Linked DNA regions of Macaca mulatta. The protein of the gene in region 1 binds, or shares a complex with, the protein of each later gene. Links are inferred from orthologs where the notes say so. Each region holds a gene or a part of one and is shown on either strand. Other genes may lie near its edges. The genes, in order: IL1A and S100A13.

Evidence for each region.
Region 2: the proteins of IL1A (region 1) and S100A13 are in contact, whole or in part, in an NMR structure (PDB 2L5X), measured with the Homo sapiens proteins. The link is inferred for Macaca mulatta from reciprocal best matches to the Homo sapiens genes IL1A and S100A13. Residues at the interface, in NP_000566.3 of Homo sapiens: Asn148, Gln150, Tyr151, Thr194, Ala195, Gln196, Asp197, Leu203, Leu204, Lys205, Glu206, Met207, Gly216, Ser217, Glu218, Thr219, Asn220, His239; in NP_001019381.1 of Homo sapiens: Met1, Arg25, Gln26, Glu27, Gly28, Arg29, Lys30, Asp31, Ser34, Asp68, Ser69, Glu70, Lys72, Phe73.

Annotation. Positions count from the first base shown.
Region 1 is NC_133418.1:22,867,480-22,872,086, reverse strand, and holds the start of IL1A (interleukin-1 alpha), read left to right. Parts: upstream 1-1,726; 5' UTR 1,727-1,824; intron 1,825-2,490; 5' UTR 2,491-2,498; coding exon 2,499-2,545; intron 2,546-3,504; coding exon 3,505-3,553; intron 3,554-4,432; coding exon 4,433-4,607. UniProt on the Homo sapiens protein: Cytokine constitutively present intracellularly in nearly all resting non-hematopoietic cells that plays an important role in inflammation and bridges the innate and adaptive immune systems.
Region 2 is NC_133406.1:113,415,429-113,419,022, forward strand, and holds the end of S100A13 (protein S100-A13), read left to right. Parts: intron 1-2,617; coding exon 2,618-2,761; 3' UTR 2,762-2,858; downstream 2,859-3,594. UniProt on the Homo sapiens protein: Plays a role in the export of proteins that lack a signal peptide and are secreted by an alternative pathway. Binds two calcium ions per subunit. Binds one copper ion. Binding of one copper ion does not interfere with calcium binding.

The DNA.
Region 1 (4,607 bases):
TACAGGTTCTTGAGTGACTGAAGCCATCATTAGCATTGTTATTATTTTTGTTTAGTTGCATCTCCATAGCAGCTCACATTCACAATGTGCTTTGCAATTGTTCCTTAGCAATAGCCCTCACAAGATTCTCAGGAGGAGAGGGGGTAATCAGGATTAACATTTCTGTGTTGCCTAAGGAGGAACCAAGGTAAGCAGAAATGTAGCCAGTTGGCTGACATCACTGTTCCTTCAGGATTTATCCTTAGACACCCAAGCTTCTACCCTAGTCTGGTGCTACACTTACATTGCTTACATCCAAGTGTGGTTATTTCTGTGGCTCTTGTTATAACTATTATAGCACCAGGTACATGACCAGGAGAATTAGACTGGCATTAAATCAGAAAAAGAGATTTTGCACCTGAAATAGACCTTATGACATCTAACCAATCCTATTATTTATAATTAAACAGGAACAGAGGGAATACTTTATCCAACTCACACAAGCCGCTTTCCTCCCAGATCCACACTTTTTTGCTTTTCTATACCATGTTTTAGTGCCTTGCCTCTTTTTTTTTTCTCTCCCTCTTCTACCTTGTTCTTCCATCCATTTCCTTTGTTTGTTTGTTTGTTTATTTTTTTTTTAGAGATGGGGGCTTCACTACGTTGCCCACACTGGACTCGAACTCTGAGCCTCAAGTGATCGTCCTGCCTCAGCCTCCTGAACAGCTGGCACTACAGGGGCATGCCACCACACCTAGTTCATTTCCTTTATTTAAAATATTTATGGCTTAAACTCCACCTGGGAACATCCATTTGCTAAGAGTCTGGTGTTCTGCCACCTGAACTAGGCTGGCCACGGGAATTATAAAAGCTGAGAAATTCTTTAATAATAGTAACCAGGCAACACCATTGAAGTCTCAGATGTAAAAATCCATGCCTTCCTTTCTCCCAATCTCCATTCCCAAACTTAGCCACTGGCTTCTGGCTGAGGCCTTAGGCATACCTCTAGGGGCTTTCACACACCTTCTTCTACAGAAGACACACCTTGGGCGTATCCTACAGAAGACCAGGCTTCTCTCGGGTCCTCGGTAGAGGGCTACTTTACTGTAACAGGGTCAGGGTGGAGAGTTCTGTCCCGAAGCTCTGTCCCCTCTCCAGGAAATGTGTTGACAATATTCAGAGGAGTAAGAGGGTCAAGACTTCTTTGTGGTCAAATATCACTTTTCTCTTCTCTACCCTGACCTAACCAGGAGCTTGTCACCCCATACTCTGAAGTGATTTATGCCTTAATCAAGCAAACTTCCCTCTTCAGAAAAGATGGCTCATTTTCCCTCAAAAGTTGCCAGAAGCTGCCAAGTATTCTGCCAATTCACATTCAACCTGGAGCACAACCAACAGATTCAGCCGGAACACAACTCCAGCTACTATTAGAACTATTATTATTCATGAATTCCTCTCCAAATCTAGCCCCTTGGCTTCTGATTTCAGGATTTCTCCCTTCCTCCTAGAAACTTGATAAGTTTCCTGCACTTCCCTTTTTCTAAGACTACACGTTTGTCATCTTATAAAGCAAAGCAGTGAATAAAGGAACCAAGTCAATAACTTCTGGAATATCTGCAAACAACAATAATATCAGCTATGCCATCTTTCATTATTTTAGCCAGTATCAAGTTGAATGAACGTAGAAAAATACAAAACTGAATTCTTCCCTGTAAATTCCCCGTTTTGACGACGTACTTGTAGCCACGCCTACTTAAGACAATTACAAAAGGCGAAGAAGACTGACTCAGGCTTAAGCTGCCAGCCAGAGAGGGAGTCATTTCATTGGCGTTTGAGTCAGCAAAGGTATTGTCCTCACATCTCTGGCTATTAAAGTATTTTCTGTTGTTGTTTTTCTCTTTGGCTGTTTTCTCTCACATTGCCTTCTCTAAAGCTACAGCCTCTCCTTTCTTTTCTTGTCCCTCCCCGGTTTGGTATGTGACCTAGAATTACAGTCAGATTTTAGAAAATTATTCTCTCATTTTTCTGATAAGGACCGATTCGTTTTACTGAGAGATGGCAGAATTAGCTTCCTGTGAGGGCATGGGGTGAATACAACTGAGGCTTCTCATGGGAGGGAATCTCTACTACCCAAAATTATTGGGAGAAAATTGAACATTTCCAAGTCTGTCTCTCCCTTACCTCTGTGTAAGGGAAACACCTTATTCTTGTGGTGTTTCTGTAACCTCTTCAAACTTTCATTGATTGAATGCCTGTTCTGTGCAATACATTAGGTTGGGCACATAAGGAATAACAATATAAATAAAACATTCTAAAAGAAGTTTACGATCTAATAAAGGAGACAGGTACATAGCAAACTAATTCAAAGGAGCTAGCAGATGGAGAAAATGCTGAATGTGGACTAAGTCATTCAACAAAGTTTTCAAGAAGCACAAAGAGGAGGGGCTCCCCTCACAGGTATCCGGGTTAGAGGCTGGCTGAGCTGACCGTGGCTGGTGTTCTCTGTTGCAGAAGTCAAGATGGCCAAAGTTCCGGACATGTTTGAAGACCTGAAGAACTGTTACAGGTAAGGAATAAGATTTATCTCTTGTGATTTAATGAAGGTTTCAAGGCTCACCAGAATCCAGCTAGGCGTAACAGTGACCAGCATGGGGCCAGGCCGGCAGAGGCTGGAGGAATGTGTACTAGTTCTGAAGTCAGAGCAGGTTCAGAGAAGACCCAGAAAGACTAAGCATTCAGCATGTTAAACTGAGATTACATTGGCAGGGAGACCGCCATTTTAGAAAAGTTATTTTTGAGGTCTGCTGAGTCCTACATGAATTTCAGCATCAACTCAGACACAGCCTCTGTTGAGATCACATACCCTGATATAAGAATGGGTTTTACTGGTCCATTCTCAGGAAAACTTGGTCTCCTTCAGGAATAGGAAATGACTCCACAGCAAGCTGGGCATGTGAACGCAGATACGCAGGCAAATCTCACTCATATGTAGAAGAAAGGTAAATGAACACAAAGATAAAATTACAGAACATATTAAACTAACATGATGTTTCCATTATCAGTAGTCAATACTAATGCAAACTAGGCTGTCAAAATTTTGCCTGGATATTTTACTAAGTATAAATTATGAAATCTGTTTTAGTGAATACATGAAAGCAATGTGTAACATATAATCTATTTGGTTAAAATAAAAATGAAGTGCTTCAAAACCTTTCTTTTCTCTTAAGGAGCTTAACATTCTTCCCTGAACTTCAATTAAAGCTCTTTAATTTGTTAGCCAGGTCTAATTTTTATAGATAAAGCACAGGTAAAGCTCAAAGCCTCTCTTGATGACTACTAATTCCATATTAGTAAGGTATGAATTACTCTACCTATGTGTATGTGTAGAAGTCCTTAAATTTCAAAGATGACAGTAATGGCCGTGTGTATGTGTGTGACCCACAACTACCGTGGTCATTAAAACACGTTGGCCAGAGACCAAAGTGAAATAACAAACAATTACATTCTCATCATCTTATTTGGCAGTGAAAATGAAGAAGACAGTTCCTCCATTGACCATCTGTCTCTGAATCAGGTAAGCAAATGACTGTAATTCTCATGGGGCTGCTATTCTTACACAGTAGTTTCTTCATCAAAAGAGAACAGCAATGACTTGAATCTTAAATGCTTTTGTTTTACCCTCACTAGACGTCCAGAGACCTGTCTTTCATTGTAAGAGAGACCAGCTGCCTTATAAAGTTGATGTGCATTGGCTTCTCCCAGAACAGAGCAGAATTATCCCAAATCCCTGAGAACTGGAGTCTCCTGGGGCAGGCTTCATCAGGATGTTAGTTATGCCATCCTGAGACAGGCCCCGCAGACCGCTTCACCAGGGGTCTGTCTCCTAACATGATGTGTTGTGGTTGCCCTCTCTGACACCAGCATCAGAGGTTAGAGAAAGTCTCCAAACATGAAGCTGGGGGAGAGGAAGCAAGCCAATTGAAAGTGAGAAATCTACAGCCACTCACCAAGCTGTGTCATTGTGTTTGGAGACCACAAATAGACAGTATAAGTACTGCCTGGTATGTCTTTGGTACTGGCTTTAAAAGCTGTCCCCAAAGGAGTATTTCTAAAATATTTTGAGCATTGTTAAGTAGATTTTTAGCCTCCTGAGAGGGAAGTAATTGGAAAGCTACCACTCACTACAATCATTGTTAACCTATTTAGTTACAGCATCTCATTTTTGAGCATGCAAATATATGAAAAAGTCTTCCTAAAAAATCATCTTTTTACCTTGGAAGGAGAAAGGAAGGTGAGACAAAAGGGAGAGAGGGAGGGAAGCCTAATGAAACATGAGTTACCTAAGACCAGAATGGAGATCCTCCTCACTACATCTGTTGAATACAGCACTACTGAAAGGACTTTCATTCCCTGACCACGAACAGCCTCTCAGTTTCTGTTTTCCTTCCTCTAGAAATCCTTCTATGATGTAAGCTATGGCCCACTCCATGAAGGCTGCATGGATCAGTCTGTGTCTCTGAGTATCTCTGAAATCTCTAAAACATCCAAGCTGACCTTCAAGCAGAGCATGGTGGTAGTATCAACCAATGGGAAGGTTCTGAAGAAAAGACGGTTGAGTTTAAGCCAGT
Region 2 (3,594 bases), on another chromosome or scaffold:
TTAAAGGTGTGAGCCACCATGCCTGGCCAGTAACATTTTATAATGTTAAAAAGAATCCTGTAAGCCGGGTGTGGTGGCTCATGCCTGTAATCCCAGCTCTTTGGGAGGCTGAGGTGGGTGGATCACCTGAGGTCAGGAGTTTGAGACCAGCCTAGCAAACATGGTGAAACCCCATCCCTGCTAAAAATACAAAAATTAGCCAGGTGTGGTGATGGGTGCCTGTAATCCTAGTGACTCGGGAGGCTGAGGCAGGAGAATTGCTTGAACCCAGGAGGCAGGGGTTGCAGTGAACTGAGATCATACCACTGCACTTCAGCCTGGGCAACAGAGACTCCATCTCAAAAAAAAAAAAAAAGAAAAAAAAATCCTGTAAATAGTTTAATTGGGATCATATAAAAGATATATTTTAGGGAAAATTGACATTTTTACCCAGTTGAGCCTTTCTCTTTAAGAAAAATATATATTTATCTAATTTTCTATTTATTCAAGTTTTTTTTAAATATCCCTGTGGTATAATATGAAATATATAGTTGTCATTTTGTATCCATGGGAATTATTCCCAGGACCCCCTTGGATGCCAAAATCCTTGGATGCTCCAGTACCTTTTCTTGTCCTTTTCTTGTAGAGATGGGGGTCTCACTATGTTGCCCTGGCTGGTCTTGAACTCCTGGGCTCAAGCGATCCTCTCACCTTGGCCTCCCCAAGTGCTGAGATTACAGGTGTGAGCCACCATGCCTCGCCTCAAATCCCTTATATGAAATCAGATAGTACTTGCATATAACCTATGCACATCCTCCTGTATACTTTAAATTACAAGTAACTCTAGGTTACTTGTAATACATAATGCAATGCCTACTCATCACTTCATTCACATGGATTCAACGTAGTACTTAGCATGGGGCAAAATTTAAGTTTTGCTTTTTGGAATTTTGTGGATTTTTTCCTTCAAATATTTTTGGTCTTAGGTTGGTTGAATCCAGGGCTGTGGAACCCACTGATACCGATATGGTATTTGGTATTTGGCCTTTGTTTTGTTTCTGTCTTCAGCTCTTTTTTTTTTTTTTTTTTTTTTGAGAGAGTCTCGCTCTGTCACCCAGGCTGGAAGGCACTGGCTTGATCTCGGCTCACTACAGCCTCTGCCTCCCATACTCAAGGGATTCTTCTGATTCAGCCTCCCAAGTAGTTGGGACTACAGGTGTGCACTACCACACCCAGCTAATTTTTGTATTTTTTTTTTCTTTTTTTGAGACAGAGTCCCACTTTGTAGCCCAGGCTGGAGTGCAATGGCGTGATCTCTGCTCACCACAACCTCCGCCTCCCAGGTTCAAGCAATTCTCTTGTCTCAGCCTCCCAAGTAGCTGGGATTACAGGCTCCCACCACCATGCCTGGCTAATTTTTGTATTTTTAGTAGAGACAGGGTTTCCCCATGTTGGGCAGACTGGTCTTGAACTCCTGACCTCAGGTGATCTGCCCGCCCTGGCCTCTCAAAGTGCTGGGATTACAGGCGTGAGCCACCACACCTGGCCTGCTTAATTTTTGTATTTTTAGTAGAGGTAGGGTTTCGCTTTGTTGGCCAGACTGGTCTTAAACTCTTGACCTCAAGTGGTCCACCCACCTCAGCCTCCCAAAGTGTTGGGATTACAGGCGTAAGGCACCACACCCTTCCTGCTTCTTCCTTCTTAATACTTACTTATTTATCTTTACTAATTGAATGCACCCCCAATATAATGTTACAGTAGTCATCCTTGCCTTCCACTGGCAGTGCTTGTAGTATATTATAATTAAATGTGGTTGTAACTTAAAAAAAAAAGTCTTTTTAGCTCTTCTGTGAATCAGCTTTGTTCCCTTTAGAGATTTGGTGAGTCTTCTCTGTCTGCGTCCAAATGTTGGTTCAAACCTTGAGCATCACACCCTGCCTGAGGCACCCTTCTCTTGTTTGATGTTGAACTATTGTTCAACAGTCAACGTTTTGGTTGTGCTTGTTTATCTGGCAACAGGTCCTTCGATCAGGACATCTGGTTTACTGTTGCCATTGATTTCACAGGCCTATGAGAGAGGCTGTGTCAAGGGCCCCCTAAAAACCCAGATACTCCATGTCTTTCCCCTGATCTAGTGACCCAGCTAGATAAATGAAAAGACACAGGGGTCGTGCGAATGAGCAGCTAAGTACTGGGAACTTCTTCAGCTTTCTGATAAAGAGGAGGGTGGCCCCAGAAAGCTCAGACTGGGTCCAACCCTGCAGCATCTCCCCGAGATGCTGGCAAATCCTTGGGCCGATCCCACAGCAGCTGCAGCAGTGTGCTGGTGAGAGCAGATTGTGTGCATTTCTTTCCAGCTTTATATTAAGCGACAACCTGTTTGTGCCATGGTGGAAGTATTTACACAATGGCAAGCACTAGGACTCAGGACCCCTACCTCTCTCTGTTGGTGCTCCTTGGAGAGGCACCCCATGGCAGTGTAGTTTTGGGGCTGCAGCCTCATTCTTTAGAGAAGAGGCAGGTGCCACTGCTCTCTGAGGGAAGGGCCTTGAGAGAATGGCAGCTGGCAATTCTTCCCTCCCTGTTTTCTCAAGAACCCCAGTTTCTAACTCTACCCTTTCCTTTGGTGTCTTCTCAGGATGTGGGCTGTCTTGATGAGAAGATGAAGAGTTTGGATGTGAATCAGGACTCGGAGCTCAAGTTCAATGAGTACTGGAGACTGATTGGGGAGCTGGCCAAGGAAATCAGGAAGAAGAAGGACCTGAAGATCAGGAAGAAGTAAAGCCGCCTGGCTGGGATGGGGGTGGGCAGGGCAGGGCTGGTCAGGGCCGAGCAGAACTGCACTCTTCTCAAATAAAGCTTCATCCTTGAAACACAAATGTTTCTTACTCACACTCCATCCTGATTTCTTTTCTTGAGACCAGAGGGTGGGAAAGCTCTCCCTTGACCTGAGGATGGATCTGAAAATTATGAGCCCCTTGAGGACAGGGAATGTTATTCATCTTTGAACATTCCGCATCATCTAGCACCAGGTCTTGTACAGAGCAGATGCCCAGTAAATGGTTAAATGAATATATGAAAAGTAGAGGCAGAGGACTGGGCACAGTGGCTTACGCCTGTAATCCTAGCACTTTGGGAGGCTGAGGCGGGTGGATCACTTGAGGTCAGGAGTTCAAGACCAGCCTGGCCAACATGGCGAAACCTCATCTCTACTAAAAATACAAAAATTAGCTAGGCTGGGGCCGGAAAATCACTTGAACCCAGGAGGAGGGTCTGTAGTGAGCCGAGATCGCACCATTGCACTCCAGCCTGGGAGACAGGAGCAAAACTCCATCTCAAAAATGAAAACAAAACAAAACAAAAAAAATGAAAAATGAAAAAGAAAAAAGAAAAGTAGAGGCAGAGATGTGGGGCAGGAGAGGTGACTCAGGGGCTCAGCTGCATGGTCCTGCTGTGTTTCCTTTTTCTTGGAGCTTGTCCGTTGGATGACAGTGATAGTGGTGAACATGTATGGAGGGCTTACTAAGTACCAGGTGCAGTGCTAAACATTCTGCCTGTATTGCCTTAGTTAATTTTCACAGTCCTTTGAGGAAGGCGCTATTTTTAACTCCTATA